Linked DNA regions of Drosophila melanogaster. The protein of the gene in region 3 interacts with the protein of the main gene of each other region in a pairwise test. Each region holds a gene or a part of one and is shown on either strand. Other genes may lie near its edges.

Region 1 (7,436 bases), on a different chromosome or scaffold from region 3:
TATATTAAAAAAATCGATTCAATATTTTAAAAGTCATAAGTTCAAATCACATTTTAACTATATCTCAAATTTGACATTTAATTATAACCTAAGGTTAAATTATTTCATATTTCATGAAAATATACATCGCTCATAGTAAACATACATGTATTTAAATACCTACTCATACGAACTTTTCAAACCTATTAACTAAGCTAACGTGTTTCACATCCATAACTTAAATTAGTAGAGACCAGAAGTGGAGGTCAAGGTTAACTGCCTAACCTGCACTTTGGGCGCTTTATGACTTGCAAGCAACGATCTCCTTTGCATAGTCGTTAAAACCGACTTTTAAGATAACTCCCAAAAGAGGAGGAACCCACGAGACCAACCAGACCACAAAATCTCCCGGACATGGCTTGATCCCATTTCCCGGTTAGGAGTGAAAAAGAAAATATGTTATTATTGTTTGGGTTTCAAACATCGCACATAACATAACAGGACCGCATGTAATTTCCGCTTCCCAAAAACAGATGAAAAAAATGCTTGTAAATATTCGAAAAACTTATTTTATTGTTCAGGTTTCAGCGATCCGAATTAAAAGTTTATTTAATCGTAATATAGAGCTATATAGTCTTGAGCTGGCGTCCGTCACAGACGACGGCCGCCCATCGATTGTAGAATAGTGATAGAACATAGCAAGAGTTGGATAGACTGTTAGCTGTACAATTGGGGCACTCATTTACAATGATCCCTAGCTGTATGAGTATGCGATTCATTAATTACAAAAATAAAATAAAAACAAACAAATGTCGTCCTTGCAGGCGCACCAGTGGCGCCCTCTAGCACCGCTGGCGCCGGATCGTGTAAAGTTAGACTGTACGAGAATTGACTAGATCAATCTAGCCCTAGACGATGGCCCTATCCCTAATCACATCTGGATCTCTAGATCTAGAAGTTGAAGGGGATGCTGGGCACGGGGTACTGGTAGCCCTGGTGCTTGGTGGGTGCGGGTGGGACGTAGACTGTGGTGCGCTGCGTAGGGGGTGGCACGTACACGGTGGTGCGCACTGTTGGTGGTGGCACGTACACGGTGGTCCTACGAGTGGGTGGTGGAGGAGGTCGGGTGGTGCGCACAACAGTGACGGGGGGCAGGTAGGTGGTTGGTGGCTTAGTTGGTGGCCGAGTGGGTGGTGGAGGAGGGCGGGTGGTGCGCACAGTTGGGGGAGGCAGGTAGGTGGTTGGTGGCTTAGTTGGGGGCCTCGTGGGTGGAAGAGTTGGCCGAGGAGTGGTACGAACGGTGGTGCGAACGGTGACCGGTGGCAGAGGCTTGTTGGTGGGTGGCAGGTAAGTAGGAGCCGGGGTTGTCAAACGACGAGTGGTGGGTGGGTAGGTTGGTGGCCGGGTTGGTGGGCGAGTTGGTGGTGGGGTGGCACGGGTGGTGCGCACGGTAACGGGAGGCAAGTAAGTGGTTGGTGGCTTAGTTGGTGGCCGAGTGGGTGGTGGAGGAGGGCGGGTGGTGCGCACAGTTGGGGGTGGCAGGTAAGTGGTTGGTGGGCGAGTTGGTGGCTTGGTAGGAGGCAGAGTTGGCCGAGGAGTGGTACGAACGGTGGTGCGAACGGTGACCGGTGGCAGAGGCTTGTTGGTGGGTGGCAGGTAAGTAGGAGCCGGGGTTGTTAAACGACGAGTGGTGGGTGGGTAGGTTGGTGGCCGGGTTGGTGGGCGAGTTGGTGGTGGGGTGGCACGGGTGGTGCGCACGGTAACGGGAGGCAAGTAAGTGGTTGGTGGCTTAGTTGGTGGACGAGTGGGTGGTGGAGGAGGGCGGGTGGTGCGCACACTTGGGGGTGGCAAGTAAGTGGTTGGTGGGCGAGTTGGTGGCTTGGTAGGAGGCAAAGTTGGACGAGGAGTGGTACGAACAGTTGTGCGCACGGTGACTGGTGGCAGTGGTTTGTTGGTGGGAGGCAGGTAGGTAGGAGCTGGAGTCGATGCACGGGTTGGTGGTGGTGGTGGCCTAGTTGGAGGAGGGGTTGGGGGGCGAGTTGGGGGACGAGTTGGTGGTGGGGTGGCACGGGTGGTGCGCACGGTAACGGGAGGCAAGTAAGTGGTTGGTGGCTTAGTTGGTGGACGAGTGGGTGGTGGAGGAGGGCGGGTGGTGCGCACAGTTGGGGGTGGCAGGTAAGTGGTTGGTGGGCGAGTTGGTGGCTTGGTAGGAGGCAAAGTTGGACGAGGAGTGGTACGAACGGTGGTGCGAACGGTGACCGGTGGCAGAGGCTTGTTGGTGGGTGGCAAGTAAGTAGGAGCCGGAGTGGTCAGACGACGAGTGGTCGGTGGGTAGGTTGGTGGCCGGGTTGGTGGGCGAGTTGGTGGGGGGGTGGCACGGGTGGTGCGCACGGTAACGGGAGGCAAGTAAGTGGTTGGTGGCTTAGTTGGTGGCCGAGTGGGTGGTGGAGGAGGGCGGGTGGTGCGCACAGTTGGGGGTGGCAGATAAGTGGTTGGTGGGCGAGTTGGTGGCTTGGTAGGAGGAGGAGTTGGACGAGGAGTGGTGCGAACAGTGGTGCGCACGGTGACTGGTGGCAGTGGTTTGTTGGTGGGAGGCAGGTAGGTAGGAGCTGGAGTCGATGCACGGGTCGGTGGTGGTGGTGGCCTCGTTGGTGGTGGTGTTGGACGACGAGTGGTCACTGGTGGCGGTGGCTTGTTGGTGGGTGGCAAGTAGGTTGCTGGAGGACGAGTGGTTGGTGGCTTAGTTGGGGGCCTCGTTGGTGGAGGAGTCCTTGGTGGTGGTGGTGGAGGAGGCAGGCGGGTGGTCACTGGTGGCAGTGGCTTGTTGGTGGGTGGCAGATAGGTTGCTGGAGGACGAGTGGTTGGTGGCCTAGTTGGCGGCCTCGTTGGTGGAGGAGTCCTTGGTGATGGTGGTGGAGGAGGCAGACGGGTGGTCACTGGTGGCAGTGGCTTGTTGGTGGGTGGCAGGTAGGTTGCCGGAGGACGAGTGGTTGGTGGCCTAGTTGGGGGCCTCGTTGGGGGAGGAGTCCTTGGTGGTGGTGGTGGTGGAGGAAGACGGGTGGTCACTGGTGGCAGTGGCTTGTTGGTGGGCGGCAGGTAGGTTGGTGGTGGCGTGGGAGGCCTGGTGGGTGGCCTGGTGGGTGGCCTAGTAGGAGGGCGCGTTGGCGGCCTTGTTGGCGGCTGTGTGGTGCGGACGGGCAGATCGAATGGAACATCGGGAGGGGGGTAGAAGTATCCCTCGGCGGCACGAGTCTTGCGCTGTAAAAAGTGGCTTGTAAGTTCCTGTTGGCAGGGAATCGTCAGATTTCCGCACTTACCTCATGGTTATCGGCCGATGCGGTGGCCACAGCCACAACGCAAAGCGCCAAGACGAACAGTGCACTTCTCTGTGGGGAAGGAACGAAAAACACAGCCTGATTAGTGATGCTACATATTGATGGACTTCGATGGTGTCGCCGTACAGAGGTGCTCAGACTAACGACTGGCTCTAACAACCTGATTGCGACTAATTGATCGCCTTCTAGGCTAATCGCCTATTCACGCTTCGTGGCAACTTGGTCGGGGTCGGAGGAGGCAAGGCAACTCCGCTGGCCTGCAGTTCAAAACTGTGGTAAAGTTCAGCCAACAAACAGCCAAGCTGGCGAATCGATTTACCATAATGCATTGAAAATCACCCGAAATGCTAACGCAGACATTCAACTTTGACGGGCATTAGCATCTCTAGGTCAGTCCCCTCCCCCGGAGCTATGTATGTAAATATCGCAGATTGACGCGATTGATACATAATGCCCATGCAAATGCGGAGCGACACAACAGATCCGAAGCTCAATGGGGATCCGAGGAAGTAGCCCCTGAATTATGGCTTCCGACGATGCTGTCAGCGGGTTTATTTGCATTTGTCGCTGGAGTTTCGGCAAGGTCATTGTTAGTTAATGAAAGTGCTCGTCGATGGCCGCAGATGGCCAGTGTCGATGAGCTCAATTAATTGGCTGACGGAGAATTTTCGGGGGCTATAAAAATAGCCGATTATGAAAGAAACCGGCCCGGATCCGGGCCCCAAACTCCAGACCAGTTCTAGCCATGATTATATAATAATCAGCAAAGACTGGCCATAAAACTAGTGAGAAAACGCAAAATTAGCATACGCATCTGGCATGCGAAGAATAGTAAGCCCCGGTTGTCATTTATAACCAAATCTGTTAGATTTTAAGCCATACCTCCAAAATCGACTGGGTCCAGTTTCATTTATTTTTTTTGTTGGTTTCTGATTGTTTGCTAATTTCAAAAATATTTGATCTTTGTATGTAAATGATTTTAAATAATTTATGCTAATGAACCTAAAATTTTTGCTGTTCTAACTTGTTTTAAATATCAGCCACAATTGAGCTGAGGATATCGAGAACCAAATCGGGTTTGACTTATGGCGGGTGGTGCTTAAAGGTTAGAAAGTGAAAGGACTTGGAGAGATATTTGCAGGGGCAAACCGATTCCCTCGACTGTTCAGTGAGCTAATTGGCAGCTAATTAATCTGATTCACACCGCCTCGAGGGCAGAGCCCCAATGCCAAGACTTTTGGGGCAACTTTATTTTTCCGAAACTGTGAGAGATTTGGGTGAATTAAAGTCTGGGGAAAAGATCAGTCGGCCCTTTAACAAATGAAATCTTCTTTGGCAACAATGATGGTGATTAATGGACGTCTATTCAATGGCAACGTCAAGAATCTAACTTAAGGCAACGTTTTTATGGCTATTTACCTAAATACGCCAATCGCAAATTGCGACTAGCAAATGTCAGAAGCAAAAGCGAAAATTATGGAAAAAAAAACAAGTTTTAATTTCATCTTCAGCCATGTCAATGCTGACATAGAAACTGCCGCCACATGGCAGAATGCACATGCAGCTGGTCCATCCTAATGACTTAATACGCAAATTGCGGATCGCGCCAAGGCGATTTGCTCTGTGGGCGGCCAACACGGCGTATGCGTAACATTGCACTCGATGCCACTTGCTCAATTTCTACATGGCTTAAATGTCAACCGCCATCTGGTCAACTCTTAACTCGCGATGATAGCCCGGGTCCAGAGCTGGACCCTCGACAAAATGTGAAATGCAAATAGATGGCGATTGAATTGGAACTGCAGTCGGTGTTGGCAATTTATTTGCTATTTCTTCTTGTTTGCGATGCTTGGGTATGCACAGAGAAAAATCGGAATGATTTTGAATGAACTTAAAGGCCCTATCTTATCTTATAACCCTTTTTTATGATTGTATCCCTATAAAATTGTAGAACATGCTTTTTTAGTATCCTTTTATACAAGTTCGGATTAATAAATTTCTGAAGATCTAGCGCTAAATAGCTGACACATTATTTTAACACAAGAAATGTTTTAATTTAAAATTAAAGTTTGAATACAAATATCATTGAAAATTCGTATTCGTTCAATTATTTTCTGTACTGTCACAAGCCCAAACTATAAAACGTGGAAACTCCCTAAATATTTTGGACCAACAAAACTGATACTTTTTATCTTCATCTGCACTGCTTTTCCTTTGCGAAATGTCTGTCTTGTTTGTCTTCACACCGAGGGACACTTGTTTCGTTATTTTGCACTTTGCACACGATCATTGTTCGTTTTGGTTTAGATTGGATTGGAACTGGGTTCGGTTACCATGGTGTACACTTTCGGACTGCTACAAACGGCAGTTGCGGTAATCCCGGGTGCGTAGGTAATCCTAGGCGGTGTGCGTGAATAATCCTTGCGGACGGTACTGTGAGGATCGGAAAGGAGAAGACGCGACCGATCGTATCAAATTCAATGGACGATTGAATTTGATCGATGCCAAGCTAAGTTGGTTTAACTTCTAGGTCGAGTGTGGAATACCAACTAAAGCATCAAAACTTGTAGATTTTCTATATATACTCGGACCCAGCATCTGCCCACTTGGGCAGCGGCGTCGGCAGAGGCATCTTCACCTGGGCGACAGCTGTTAACACACGGCCAAAAGCCGAAATCGAAAGCGTTTTGGCCAGATGAAGATGAGCCGAATACGAAGTCTCTGCCGCTGCTGATGCCTCAGCCTTCGTCGACAGCGACGCCGACAGCTGAATGCTGACCAGAAAGCCAACCAGTCTCGGTTGTTTGATGTTTGTGAGTTAACAGCCAGATAACATGGCTAAGACAAAAAGGCAGCCAAATTAAGGCCCAGCAATTATGGCAGAAGAGCAACTAAGCCAGACGCACCATCCGGCCATCCGACCATCCATCCACCAACGCCTGCTCTTGTTGGCATTTCTATTTAGCCAACTCCGATGGCTGGCAAATATGCTCGTACTTTTGGCAGAAGTCTGCGGCGAGTGTTAAACACGTTGTCGTGCAGCATTTAATTTGGTAAATGGGTCCGAGCCACCGAATTTCATCAATCGATGAGACAAGCCGAAGCTGGCTCGACGATCGAGAGCCAAGTCAAGGCTCCCAACGAAGCTTGCCAAGGCAAATAAGGCCGAGAAGATCAGGCGTTGGCTAATGGCACTTACCCCTCGGATCAGGCCTAAATGCAGTTGGAGTTGCGAGTCGATGTTGGAGTTGGAGTCGGCCAATTGAACATGAACCGGTTGACTTGGCCAAAAATGCGTGTGCCCGGGGGTCAGCAGATGGCAGCCGGAGTTGAATGTTAAGGTAGGCTCAGCTCGGCTCAGCTCATCTCTGACTCCGTGTCAGCCGAGTGACCTTTAAACGCACACTCGAAGATCTCGATGATCGGTGATCGGTGATCGGTGTTCAGTGCTGCATTCTTCGAGCGACTCCCAAACGGGTTTCGGCATTTGTCATCGCCTGCATTTCGCCAGTTTAATAACTAGAATTTATTTATTCGCAAGCAGTCACGTCTTGATTTTAATGAACCAATCAGAGTGACACCCACTGGCCACGCGCAGTCATGAGCGGGCCCAAAATAGATGTGACTTTGAACTCTTTCGGCCCAAAGGTGCGTGGTCACTGGGTAGTCAGGGTCTAGATAAAACGGCGGAACAACACCCAGAGGAAGTGCAGCCGAACGGAAGTCACCCCTGCGGCCATCAGACGCCACTTAGAGCCACATTAATTCTTGTCTTTTATTACATAATTGCTGGCTAACTTATTCGGGTCATAACTTGCTTCGCACATCTTCACAAAGGCAATGACACTTGGCGGCGACTGCTGACATTTCAAATTTGTCATTGCGGATAACTGAAGCGACTGAATTGTTTTTATTATTTTTTTCTTTTTTAGTTTTTGGCTCATCGAATGCTTCTTGACTGCCGGCTAGAGGAAAAGCCTTTTTTTGTCACCTCATCCGACATTGCAACAGACGATTATTCAACTTCCATACCGAGTGTCTGATAATTTGCTGCCTCAAATTTTGGACTCCACTGAAGGACGTTAGCGGTTTTCGAATCAAACAAGACCGTCGCTTGAGCCT
Region 2 (4,893 bases), about 14 Mb from region 3:
AATGGAAATGGGGCACCACCTAAGTGTCACTATTTCTGAAACCGTCGAGGTGGCCGGAATTCTTCCAATTCCCCACTCCATTGTTTCCCGGAAAAGCCCCGTCCCCCATTGGATTTATTTTTTATACACCCCCAATCCCACTCTAAAGTCTTACACGAAAACGAATCAAAAACAAGCAATGCACAGAGGGAAATTACGGAAAAATGTGTTACGGACGCAGGTGATGGCTCCGTCAACACACACACACACACACATGCACAGCTCCTCCAAGGGGAAATGGGAGGTGGTGGGTGGCAGATGGGGGTGCTGGGCGGGTGCAAGGGTGGCGCCTTGCCCTCAGCACGTGGAGACGCACTTTGGCAAAAGCAATCTTCTAAACAGGATAAATGTAATTGCGCATGAATTTCTACGCATATTTCGGCGTCGCTGTCTGAGCTGCAAATGTTTGTTACCCATTTGTTTGGTTGTGTTTTTTATGCTCGCTTTTCCCGTCGCTGAAAAGCGTTCTCCGACATTTCGAGGAGCTGTCACCCCATTGGCCCTCCACTGGCCACGCCCCCAAAGAGAGTGCTCTCTCCGGTCTCGCCGTCTCTCTCTTTCGACGGGTAATTGACTCGCATAATGTTTGTTTTGTTTTGAGCAAATCGTTTGCAACACTCTTTGAATGCCTCGTGGTTGTCTCATAAAAAGCGAAAGCATTTAAAAATTCAATTTGCCCTCTCTCTCATTCTCTCTCTCTCTAACTTTTTCTTGCTCTCACCCGCTCTTTTTCTGCAAAGTTTGCAGAGCTCCTTCGCAAAAATGGCCGCCTGTTCGCTTTTTGGGGGAGGTTTTCTCTTTGGGGAACGGAACGCTGTGGAATGAAACATGCTATAAGGTAGAAAGCTCAGAGATTCCAAATAAAAGAAGAAACGGGAATGCATTACAATGACATGAACGATACTAAATATAACTTAATACGTTGGGAAATTGCTTACATATTTTTAATTATTTAAATATAATTGTTGAAAATCTTTCACTTAATTTCTTAAGGATACCTTCTATCCTCGTATTTTTGATAATATCGTTTTTGATTAACGTTGTTCTTCACCATTTCGTTATCAAACATAATAAATACATTTGATATTTTATACATTTGATAACACCCACAAAACCTCTTTTACTTTTCTTTGCATAATTTATAAGTTGCTTGTTTATTTCTTTCGATATTTTAGCAATTCAATGATTTATCTATATCACCGAACCCCATTTGTTGAAACTTTCACCGCTCAATCTGCTAACCGCAAGGTTGCAATCGACTGGTGCATTTTCGGCACACACTTTTCTGGTCGAAAAAGTTTGCATCTGGCTGGCTGGGAAATTTCAATGGCGCCACAGAGCAACACTTGACCCCTGTTAGGTGGCAATTGATTGATTTTATATTGGCATTTCAATAGACACCAGCCGAGCGAAGCGATTCGAGTCGAGCCGAGTGCGCCCCCACTTTAGACGCGTTCCAAATGCCAAGTGTTTCCCATTCGGGGGGTAGGAAAACCAAAGCGCACTCCACCAGCACCGCAGAGAAAAAATAGTAAAGGAGGAAAATGCGAAAAGTGTCTGTCGATGCGGTTGCAGTGCAATTGTCGAAATAAACGAAAAGAAATTCCGAACTGCAAATGGAATGAAAAAGAGCGGCAGAAGGGGTGGGCCACCAGGCGGTGAAAGAGAGGGACAGCGAGAGCGATAGAGAGAGAGTGGGACACACCCTCCCAGGAGGGGTAGCAAATACGCAAGTGTGTGTGTGAGTGCGGAAAACCATTTAGCGCAAAGACCAAAAGAATTTGCAGGGCTGCCAGCCAACCACCTCAGTCTCAGTTTCAGTTCCACGCTCTCCGGACACGAGACCGGGGGTTAAAAATCCAGAGACTGAAACAATAAAAACACTAAACGATCGCTTTGCCACACACAAACACAAGCACACACACACACGCAGACACACACAAGCACTCGCATACATACAGAGACAGAAAGGACGAAGGACTCAGAACACAGAACTCAGGACTGCGTCTGTTAACAGCCGCATTTAAATTCAAATGCGAAACGTTGATCAAACGGTGCAGACGTGTTTCTCCCAACGGTAGCGCTCGGCGTTTTCCCTTAACGAGTTTTTCGTGGCACGACTGAAGTGTACAAGGTTTGGAAAATTCTTTATTTTCCTAACAAATATATATAAAACAAAAAAAAAAAAACACACACACAAGTGCAAGTTGAAGAACAAAAGTGCTGAATTAAACGTTTAAACTGCAAATCTAAGCAAAAATCTCAAGCTATGTCTTCCTCCGAGGCCGAAGTTGACATCAGTGTGGTGTCCAGTCCGGAGCCGAGTCCTTTGGGCGCCGCTGCCCGCGACAGTCCGCTGCTGGCCCGCTCGCCGGCCCGTTCCGCCGACGGCAGTTCGCCCCCGGCCACGCCTACCCATCGCTCCAATACGCCCAACACGGCCGCCGGCACGCCCACAACGTCCGCCTCGGGCGGCAATCACTTCCATCACAGTCCCAGCGGAGGCGCTGTGCCGCCGGCGGTGTTGCACCATCATCTGCAGCACCATCTGAGCAGCCTGGGCAGCCATCCGGTGGCGCTGCATCACGCGCTCCACACCTTTGGCCACTTGCATCCCGCCCACGGGGCCACACATCCCGCCCTGCTGCAGCACGCACTCACGCCCACCGGCCAGCAGCAGCAGCAACAGTTGCAGGTGCAGCAGCAACACCAGCAGTCGCATGTCGAGCGCCTTAGTCCGCCAATGAAGAGTCCGGAGCGGAATGGCGGCGATGAGGTGCAAGGACACAGTCTGAACAACAACAACAGTAAGGCCCTCAATCACAACAACACTTGCGCCTCGGCGGCCGCAGCGGCGGCAGCAGCAGCGGTGGCAGCGGCCAACCTGAGCAACAACAGCAACGACAGCAACGGGAGCAGCGGGGGCGGCGGCGGCAAGAGCACCACCGGCTCCAACGGATTCACCAGCTTCTCCATCTCCAGCATCCTGAGTCGCAGTGAGCCGGCCAAGAAGAACGGCGCCGCCGGACTTATCACTCCGATCCCGCAGTTGCCGCAACCAGGAGCCGGCGGTCCACAGGATGCGGCCATGTTGTCCAGGTAATTAAAAAACATTCCAGACTTGCTCTAGTCAAAAATAGCCCTCCCATTTCAAATGTGATTAATCTTGTAAATATGAAGTCGCCAAATTTAAAAATCTTAGTGTCAACATTTTACTTCAATTCATTTTAACAATTTAATCTGCAAAAATTTAGTCCATCCATCTGTCATATATAATTAGTTACTTCTGACGATATTCAGCTATTCCGCCTAATTTTGATCCGCAAGATATTTTAAAAAAATACAAACTCGAACTAAAATTTCATTCAAATTTTAACCCTATAATTACTGAAATTAAATGAGTATAATTTCATATGCCCAAGGATTTCCCATTGAATACCTTTTTTTGTAATAATAAAAATCACTCGTCTTAAGTACCATACCCATTTATTGCTCAGTGTAGGCGACCCAGATTAGGACGTTCGCCGGCGAACTGAAACCAAAAAGTCAAGCCTTGCCTCAATGAGCCCAAAACCCAAAGAGGCTGCCATTCCACTTGTTCGCCCTCGGGTTGGGCCAATTTTGTATAATCGTCCTAGGGGAAGACAAGGCAAGGTGACACAAATCTCTTCGCAGGAAGTGCACAAAGAGGAGAAATGGGATGGAGACGGACTGAGATGGTAGCCGGGAGATGGTCGATAAGACCGAAAATTGTTGGGCAAACGTTACACGAGACATTAAGTGGGTGAAGATGCAAATGGCTAAAGTACCATGCCATTGTGCTCCGAGAATCTAACGATTCCAAATTCCAGATGCCAGACAGATAAAGCAAATCCAATGGAACCGTTTTTAGTTGCACTGGACGCTAGCTGACCTCGAATATATGCAGAAAAGGTCTAAACCATTTTTGCCCTGCAATTTGGCCAGACTATCGAGTTACATAACATTTGTTAGATGAAATTTAATGCACCGCTTCGGGAATGAATGTAACCGACTGTCCGGCTGATTGACGGACTGACAATGCTCCAGTATCGTATGCAAAACGTGGTCCTTTCGAATGAATGAACCCTCAGTCCCTCCAAGCTGACCCACAAAAACTGGTACGTTTCTACAGCTGTTTGTTGTGCGAATGCAACTTATTGATACACAATGTGCACTGGAAATAAACAAGTCCGAGCTAATATTAACGGATTTTGTAAAATTTAATTGTGAAAAATAGCACTCGAAAAATGTACACCTACATAAATCTATATTTATTTAGGTACTATTCATTAAAGAGCTTATTTCTCTTGCAACATATTCCATTGATTCAATTTAAATTTGTCTCAGTGCAAATGCGTTTTTTATTCATTTCATTCATATCATAAACGCTGGCATATTAACCCCACTTAGCCGGCTTTTTGAGTCAGCGATCGAATTTCCAGGCAGCTCGATTAACGCATGTGTTGAATTAAAAAAAAAAAAAAACAACCAAGAGAATTTATAAGTTGCACTTTTATTTTACGAGAGAATGGGAGGGGGACTCCCCCAGACGTTTTAGTCCTCGAACTTTTTAATAACGATCATTTTCATTTCATTTACGCGTGCCCGCGTCGCTGATCGTCTCGATAAGGAAAGTCGGGCTGGTGGGCAGGTTCTGTGGCCGAGGGTCGCTACTGTCCCAGTCAACTGGACTGTGGCCCGTGCGTGGTTACCCCAATTAAGGACCTCGTCCTGGACAAAGTGTCGCCTCCTGCTGTTTGGCGCTAGCCCAGCTGACGTGTGGCTGCCTATGTGACTGGCTTATCAGTTGATCATCATCGGCCAGAATGATTA
Region 3 (3,985 bases):
GCGGATATTTTTTTTTTGCCTGCGAATTCCAATAGAAACTACTCGGGAATAAACGGCTTGAGAACGGGAAGGAGAAACGGGTACAATCCAGGCAAAATCGAACGCGCACACACATGCAGCCGGTCGCCATGTTGGAATTCGAAAGTCTATGCAACTTTATTAATTTACTTGCAATTTAAGGTCGCTGGAAAACCAATTTCCAATTCGAATCGATTTACACAGCTATTATGCAAAAGGAATGAGAAGACCGGCCGGCAGCGCAAATCACTTACACTCTCTCACTTTTCGGAACTTTCTTTACTTTAGAACTTTCTTTAGGTTGGAAAATCGAACCGAAATTCGCCTAATAATGCAGGGTAGGGAATTCTGGGACTTTCCCTTTTTACATTTCCACAACTAATCAATGCCTATTAATATTTTCACAATTTAACGGGAGCTCTGCGTGCACTTACCTCGAAATCACAAAACGGAAAGACCGAAAAAGCAACGATGCTGAGGTGAACGGAGCTGAACTGATTCCGACCTAGAGATGGCACAGGATTCCATGTATGACAAGGGCCTTGGGTTTCCTATTGCATTATGCGGATTTCTTGACTTAAATAAAGTTTCCATCCCTTAAGTATAAAACGTACCAAAATAAAAATAGTAATACAATTTTACTACCATTCATGGAATATTTTATATTCTCTTAAACTGAGTCTTTTGCAGATAAAATAATATAGTACTTTCACGGACTGTCACTAAAAGTATGCACATTCACCACTAATTGCAAAAGACATTGTGCACACTATTCGCTTATGCGTTGAAATAAGACGCAAGCTCCTTCCTTTCTCTCTCTCTCGTCCTGTCGTACGACAGAACAATAGAAAATTTGACAGAACAAAAATGTTAGAAAGGAATTTGAAAAAATACTGTTAATAGTAATGTAATGTAATTAACAGTAATGCTTTAATACGTAGACCTTTTGCGTTCGTCTTTACTTGCCTATTTTATTGTATTAAAAGAATTAAAGTAAGTCTAAACATTACAATTAATAGCATTAGAACCCGAAAACGACTATAATGTACATTGGTCAAGAGCCATTATTTCCATTCACTGTCCGACTCGTATTCCTCCCAGTCCGGTTTCACGCCCACGGGCAACTTCTTCTGCTCCAGGTAAACGTTAAACTGCTCCGGAATCGACATAAATCTGCGAATCTTCAAGCGGAACTGCCGCCACGTCCACTGGCCAAAGTTTTTCCGATCGGCAACCATCGCCTTGTAGTTAAACTTATGTTTGTTAAGAAAGTAGGACAGTTCCTTGACCACGCCCTTGGGTAATCTGTGCAAATACAAAACCTGTATTTTGACAGTTTTCCATTGCAGAATCAATATTTTACCTGAACTCTGGGTCGGCTCGCTCGCTAGCCAGTTGTTCTAGTTCCTGGACTACGTGTCCACGTTTTGGACCCTCCTCTACGACTGGTTTCTTGAGGCCCAATACACGCCGCTCATCCTCGTCCAGCTCCTCCTCCAGAAACCCATTCACAACTCGGGCCGCTAGGAGGCGGTCCTTCTTGTAGCTGGGAATCGCAATGGCCTTGTTGACGTCCTTGGCCAACCCCATTTCACTGAAGTTGGTGCCCACACGCTGGTCCTCCATCCACATCTTTTTCATCCTGGGACTGGTAAGATCATAACAGAAGGTTTTCGTAAACTTGTTGACTCTATTGGCTGTAAGTGCACCAAGATCCAACTTACTCCTTAATTTTTCCGGTGGAACTCCGGGTTTTATTCATCGTCTTGCGGTTTACATTGTAGCGATAACGCTTGCGAGCATGATTCTTGCGGATCTTCATTGTTGAGAGGTTTAATTAATGAATCAAACAATGTTTAAAATCAATTGAGGGGACCAAAACAATTTTAAAACCGCACGTGTTGCAGCTGTTAGGAGTGACCGTGGACCGTAAAATACCGAAACCCTGATTTCAGTATTTCAATACCGCATAGCTAGAGATGACATACCGGCAAGATAAATGTTTTCGATAACGATAACGGCACGGCGTTATCTACAAGATTTTGTTTATATCCGTAGGAAACAAAATATAAATTAAGCCACCATGCGTGATGAGATTTTGGACCCCAGTAACCTAGTGAAGAACCGGGAGATACTCTACCGACTGATGATCAGCCAGCTGATGTACGACGGCCTGGAGAAGTTCGCCATGGAGCTGTCCATGCTGGTGAAGGCGGACCAGTGCGCTCCCAGTGAACGCCTGCTGCACGTAATGATTGCAGGGATGCAGACGCTGAGCGACAAGGACAAAACCAACTCGGATGATGTGCTGCCCGGCATAGACTTGGAATTCGAGCCGGAGGCTTCGGCCTTGGCCCCGGAACCACATTCCTACGAAACCGCGTATGTGACCTCGCACAAGCAGGCCTGTCGCGCCGGCGCCTTCAGTTGCGATGGTTCCCTGGTGGCCACCGGGAGCGTGGATGCCAGCATCAAGATTCTGGACGTGGAGCGGATGCTGGCGAAGTCTGCGCCCGAAGATATCGAGCCGGGCAGGGAACAACAAGGCCATCCAGTGATTCGCACGCTCTATGATCACACTGATGAAGTGTCTTACCTGGAGTTCCATCCCAAGGAGCACATCCTGGCCTCCGCCTCGCGCGATGGCACTGTTAAGTTGTTTGACATTGCCAAGCCTTCGGTAAAGAAGGCCCACAAGGTGTTCACCGACTGCGAGCCGGTGCTGTGCCTGTCTTTTCATCCTACTGGTGACTACGTAGCCATCGGAACGGAACATAACGTCTTGCGGGTCTACGATGTGGCCACCACCCAATGCTTCGTGAGTGCCATTCCCTCGCAGCAGCACAAGGCTGGAGTTACTTGCGTGAAATATTCGCCCACGGGGAAACTCTACGCCACAGGCAGCTATGATGGTGACATCAAAATATGGGATGGGATCAGCGGGCGGTGCATCAACACCATTGCCGAGGCGCATGGCGGAGCGGCAATATGCTCACTGGAGTTTACGCGGAATGGAAAGGTAATGGGACACTATGGGTAGTGGCTGTGCAAGATTTTAACTTATTCATTTTAGTACCTCCTATCTTCCGGTATGGATTCACTGGTTTATCTGTGGGAGCTGTGTACCAGTCGTCCCATTCAGACGTACACGGGCGCTGGAACCACCGGCAAGCAGGAGCACCAGACAGAGGCTGTATTCAACCACACAGAGGATTACGTGCTTTTCCCCGACGAGGCCACCACTTCGCTTTGCTCGTGGAACTCCCGTAACGGCTGCCGCCTGACCCTTAACTCGCTTGGACACAACGGACCTGTCCGCTATATTACGCATTCGCCCAATGGTCCTGCTTTCCTCACCTGCTCCGACGACTTTCGGGCACGTTTCTGGTACCGAAGAGCAAATAATCAGTAAACGGATGAAGCTACACCAATCGAATAAAACTTTAAGGAATAAAATATGTACACGTTCATTATTCAATTATTGTGATTGGCTGTGGGGGTTTTTAAGTGTATCGATTTGTGATTTTATCAGAATTAATGAAATATGTTTCAAACGCTTTTAAAAATAATTAATCAGTAAAATTTTCTTTATTAAAAACTCGTTTGTGGTTTTTCCATGAATAGTTATCCTAAAATCGCAACTATAATTTCTAGTCATTGAGCGCACAAGTCTTAAGTCGTATTTGTTGCGTTAAGTAAACTGTAAAAATCATAATACATAATACCAGATTGGGATTCCGTATAAATATCAGTTGTCTCTTCACTGGAAGTCCGTTTTGTTGTACGCTGGAACATTGATCCAATGCCTTATGACTACACCTAGATCCTAGTTAAGTGGCCTTAGTAGTTAATTAAGTTTACAACATTTCGTGGGGCCGCAGAACAGCGTTGTCGCGTTCCTCCGAAGCCACCAACACGTTTTGAAGATTGCACAATTAGCCAATACATTTGATTCCAACTTGTTGCC
Region 4 (3,790 bases), on a different chromosome or scaffold from region 3:
GGCCAGGTGTACACATTCAGGCCAAAAGCAGCAGGCATTAACGAAAAGGAAACCGTCACCATCAACGGACAACCGGCTCAGGTGGAGTACTCCAATGGTGATATAGTCATCGAACTGGCCGATCATACGGTGATTGCCAAGATAGGTGGACGCACATTTCTGGGCGATCGCGAATCCTTCGACAATCGGGATAAATTAGAGGCGGAGGCAAAGAACTATGCCGATCGTATCCAGCAAGAGGTGCACGCCAATCTCCAGAAAACCATGGCTGATATTCAAAGGGATCTTCAGAATTCCCTGGGAAATATTTTCTATTAGAAGCCAAGTAATCAATCGTACACGAGTCGCTCGAAATAAAGCGCCTTTGCAGCAATTGTCTTGACTTTAATTGTCTTATCTATGGTTTACAAGCTAAGATGTTCTAAAAGATACATATCTAGTGTGTAATCCAAGTACAACAGACCCCAGACATGAGGCGTCTTTGGGCATAATCTTCCCATTTGACCGGCCTGAGGCCACAAACGTGTGGGTGGTTAGGTCAATTAATGGGAAATGACGCCCGGCAAATGTGATTGATTAGCGGGAAACTCACCGTATAGGCAGCTTATGGGGCGGCTAAATCTAATGCTTAGTATCGCCTAACAGACTAGGTTTGTATGGGCGTGTGGCGATTGGAATACAATTACCGAGCTTGCGGCGGTGTTTATGAACACTTCTTGGTATTTAAATGACGGAATTTCCCAACGAATCTTCGTAAATAAGACCAAGGTCTCTTATTCTTTATATTTGTGTTTTCCAAGCTAACTTAATAAATTCTTAATTAATGGCCTTGATCTTTTGTCAGCCACAAATTGTCTAATTGCATTGCTGTATACATTTGCTTGTTTATGAAAAATGCTTTTAATTGAATTAGGGTGGGTCGAACGAAATTTCTGCTTATTTTGTATTTCTAAATCGAGATTTGAAATTAAATTTCCATCGATGTTAAATCTTAAATTTCTATATCAGGTTGACAGTTATATATTTAATAAACTGCTACAAATTTGTTAAGTGAGAATGCTATAGTCGACTTGGGCAAATCGATAGAAATTTACAAGACAAATAAAAATATATAAAAAGTTTTAGTTTTGGGCGGCTTGTCGGCGTAAGAGGGATCGTTCAGAATGTGTAAGGTTGATCTAGAGCTTGATTTGCAACCCATAGTCAGTACAAACCAAGTATCTTATCTGTGTCCTTGTTGTCCATTTCGAAGATTGATTCGCTGCCATTTCCCATTTTCAAATTCAATGTCAATTCTGTTAATATGAGCGGAATGAACGCAGTGGATGGATATGTGGGGTGAACTTTTTATCTTAATGACTTTATTTATAGGCTGAAACTTAAAAGCGAAAACAATGGTATTCAAGTTATGTGAAGCAAAAATATCGAACTGCGCGCGAGCAGCTAGAGATGTGTTTTTTTTTTATCGATCCGGTATTTGATTGATAAATAATCGATTGTAAGTGGACACGTGCCCAAACACGTTGCGTTTGACAACTGCTTTTCTATCCAATTAATTGCGATAAATAGACGAAACGAATTCGGACCGAAAGATAGGTCTAAATTTATAGTGTCTATTCCTGCGCTTTCTAATGTCAACCACTTGAGATATTCGGAATAAGATCACTCGTCAAGATACGAAAATGAGCTTTTTGTTGACCGAACCGCAGTGGTCCGCCTGGTACTCCGCCTTTTACGCGTCTTCGATGAATCGTCTGGCCCAGAATGTGTGCACCGCTCAAGATCCCATCACTGTATGCCTGCGATCCGAGGCGGACTTATGCTCCGTTCCGTCAGGTGTGAAAACCTGGATAGAGTTGAGCAGGCAGGGCAAGGCCACTACCGGTGGTCCGGGATGGATATGCACGGGCCTGGACCTGCTGTGCCAGGAGATGGACAGAAAGTTGCCGCTTCCACTGGACTTTGAACTCTCCGCCGCACATTTGTTTTTCTGGCACAAGTTGGAGCGATGCAACTACTTCCTGTGGACGGTCGCCGATCTTCTAATGCGTTGCGAACCGCTGGATGGGCGCTGCTTTCGGAATTTAATTAAGAACCCAGTGCCAGATGGAGGCAACTGGCAAATGTTCGTTAATCTGGTCAAAAAATACGGAGTTATGCCCAAGAAATGCTACCTCCACTCCACTCAGCGAACTACAAAAATGAACCTCATACTGAAGAGTAAGGTTGGTATTTTGTATTGTACTGAATATTATATACATATGTATATATTTCCTTCACCTAAAGCTACGTGAATATGCCAGCATGCTGCATGCTCAGTTCACCTTTAATGGGAATGGCTGCCGTCTCCCCGATCTCATTCAAGAAATGATTCCGCATCTCTTCAAAGTAATATGCATCTGCCTTGGTGAACCTCCCAAGGTTTTCACCTGGTCCTTCTACGACCACAAAAAGCGTTACCAGTGCCTGAATGATATGACAGCGGTCCATTTCTACGAAGTTATGGTAGGCTGTACGGTGAATCTAGACGCCTTTGTCTGTCTGGGTCACGATCCGCGAATCTCATCCAGCTACCATAGCAACTATCAGGTTGCCAACAGCTCGAATATGATGGGCGGAAAACCTCATAGGTATAATAACCAATCAATGGACATCATAATGCAGATCATGGTGACTTCTCTGGAAGGTGATAAACCCGTTTGGATGGCCTGCGATATTCGTAGAGCAATCAGTTTGAAGTCCGGTCCATTAAGCCTGAGATCGCATCAATTTGATTTGCTATTTGGCTTTAAAGTGGGCGAGTCGCTCACCAAAGCAGAGAGACTTGACTACAGAGCATCCCGACGGGATGCAGCCCTGCTCCTTACATCCGTTGGATTGGACACCTTGAAACAGCCCGTACAGTTTCGCTTCATAAATGCTTCTACAATTGGCGAGTCTCCCGCCACCGGAGGTCTTAATGAACACGATGTGGACGAAAAGGTTACGAAGGCATTAAGAAAGAAGTCGGTCAAACCACCGGATAACAAATTGGACGCCGAATGGTTAAGGGAGTACGCTTTTGAGATTGTAGTCCACGAAAAATTTGTCCCATCGGGTGTTTTACATGCCGCAAGGATACATAAATGGAAAGAACTGCCTGCTTGGGATCCCATGGGCGCATTACTTAATTAAAAAATTGTTTAGAACCAAAAAAAAAATCTTTCATAAGAAATACATTTACTACATTTTATTTGCCTTCTTGAATAGATAAAAACTAAATCCATTCATTCAATTCAAGAAGAAAGTTCAACAACAATGACAAATTTCAAGTATTTTTCCGAACTGTGGGCGTGGCAACGTGAAATAAACTTGCGCTGCTTAATTTCAACTTTCTAGCTTTTATAGTACCTAAGATCTATCGATCGTGATCATGAATACTTGATATGGTCGAAAACGCTTTCTTCTTCCCTTTTACCCTTTTACTCTACGTGTAACTACGAGTATAAAAACAGTCAGCACGATTGAGTTTTGTTGTTTGTTGAAAATAGTTTTAGTAAGTAGTGAACAATTGACTACACTCTCGTTTAAAGTGTCCCATTTTTGAGTTTCCTGCGAACTCTTGTGCCAGCCGCCAATCGCTTGCATAAAATTATTTAAATATCCCGCAACGTTGTGTCCTTTGTGGCAGTTGTTGTCATCGTCACCGAGGCGCGACCTTCACTAAGTTTTTCGGGAATCGCTCCTACGTGCCCGGCATGACTAATTAGGCATTAGGGAGTTCTCGACAAGAGTTGTTGGCGCGGCCAGC

The links.
Region 1: the proteins of CstF50 (region 3) and CG13731 interact in a two-hybrid assay, tested with the Drosophila melanogaster proteins (one large-scale study listed by BioGRID).
Region 2: the proteins of CstF50 (region 3) and Hmx interact in a two-hybrid assay, tested with the Drosophila melanogaster proteins (one large-scale study listed by BioGRID).
Region 4: the proteins of CstF50 (region 3) and CG13423 interact in a two-hybrid assay, tested with the Drosophila melanogaster proteins (one large-scale study listed by BioGRID).

What each region holds. Positions count from the first base shown.
Region 1 is NT_037436.4:17,383,098-17,390,533, forward strand, and holds CG13731 (uncharacterized protein), read right to left. Parts: upstream 5,860-7,436; 5' UTR 5,651-5,859; coding exon 5,648-5,650; intron 3,366-5,647; coding exon 3,297-3,365; intron 3,238-3,296; coding exon 931-3,237; 3' UTR 539-930; downstream 1-538.
Region 2 is NT_033777.3:17,557,056-17,561,948, forward strand, and holds the start of Hmx (H6-like-homeobox), read left to right. Parts: upstream 1-1,874; 5' UTR 1,875-2,308; coding exon 2,309-3,138; intron 3,139-4,893. UniProt on the Drosophila melanogaster protein: Transcription factor involved in specification of neuronal cell types.
Region 3 is NT_033777.3:31,734,997-31,738,981, reverse strand, and holds CstF50 (cleavage stimulation factor 50 kD subunit), read left to right. Parts: upstream 1-2,018; 5' UTR 2,019-2,101; coding exon 2,102-3,037; intron 3,038-3,091; coding exon 3,092-3,430; 3' UTR 3,431-3,479; downstream 3,480-3,985. Other genes in the region: CG11563 (uncharacterized protein), read right to left, coding at 1,083-1,323, 1,382-1,666, 1,743-1,840.
Region 4 is NT_033778.4:20,535,007-20,538,796, forward strand, and holds CG13423 (uncharacterized protein), read left to right. Parts: upstream 1-1,571; 5' UTR 1,572-1,682; coding exon 1,683-2,225; intron 2,226-2,286; coding exon 2,287-3,174; 3' UTR 3,175-3,258; downstream 3,259-3,790. Other genes in the region: Bbd (bombardier), read left to right, coding at 1-318.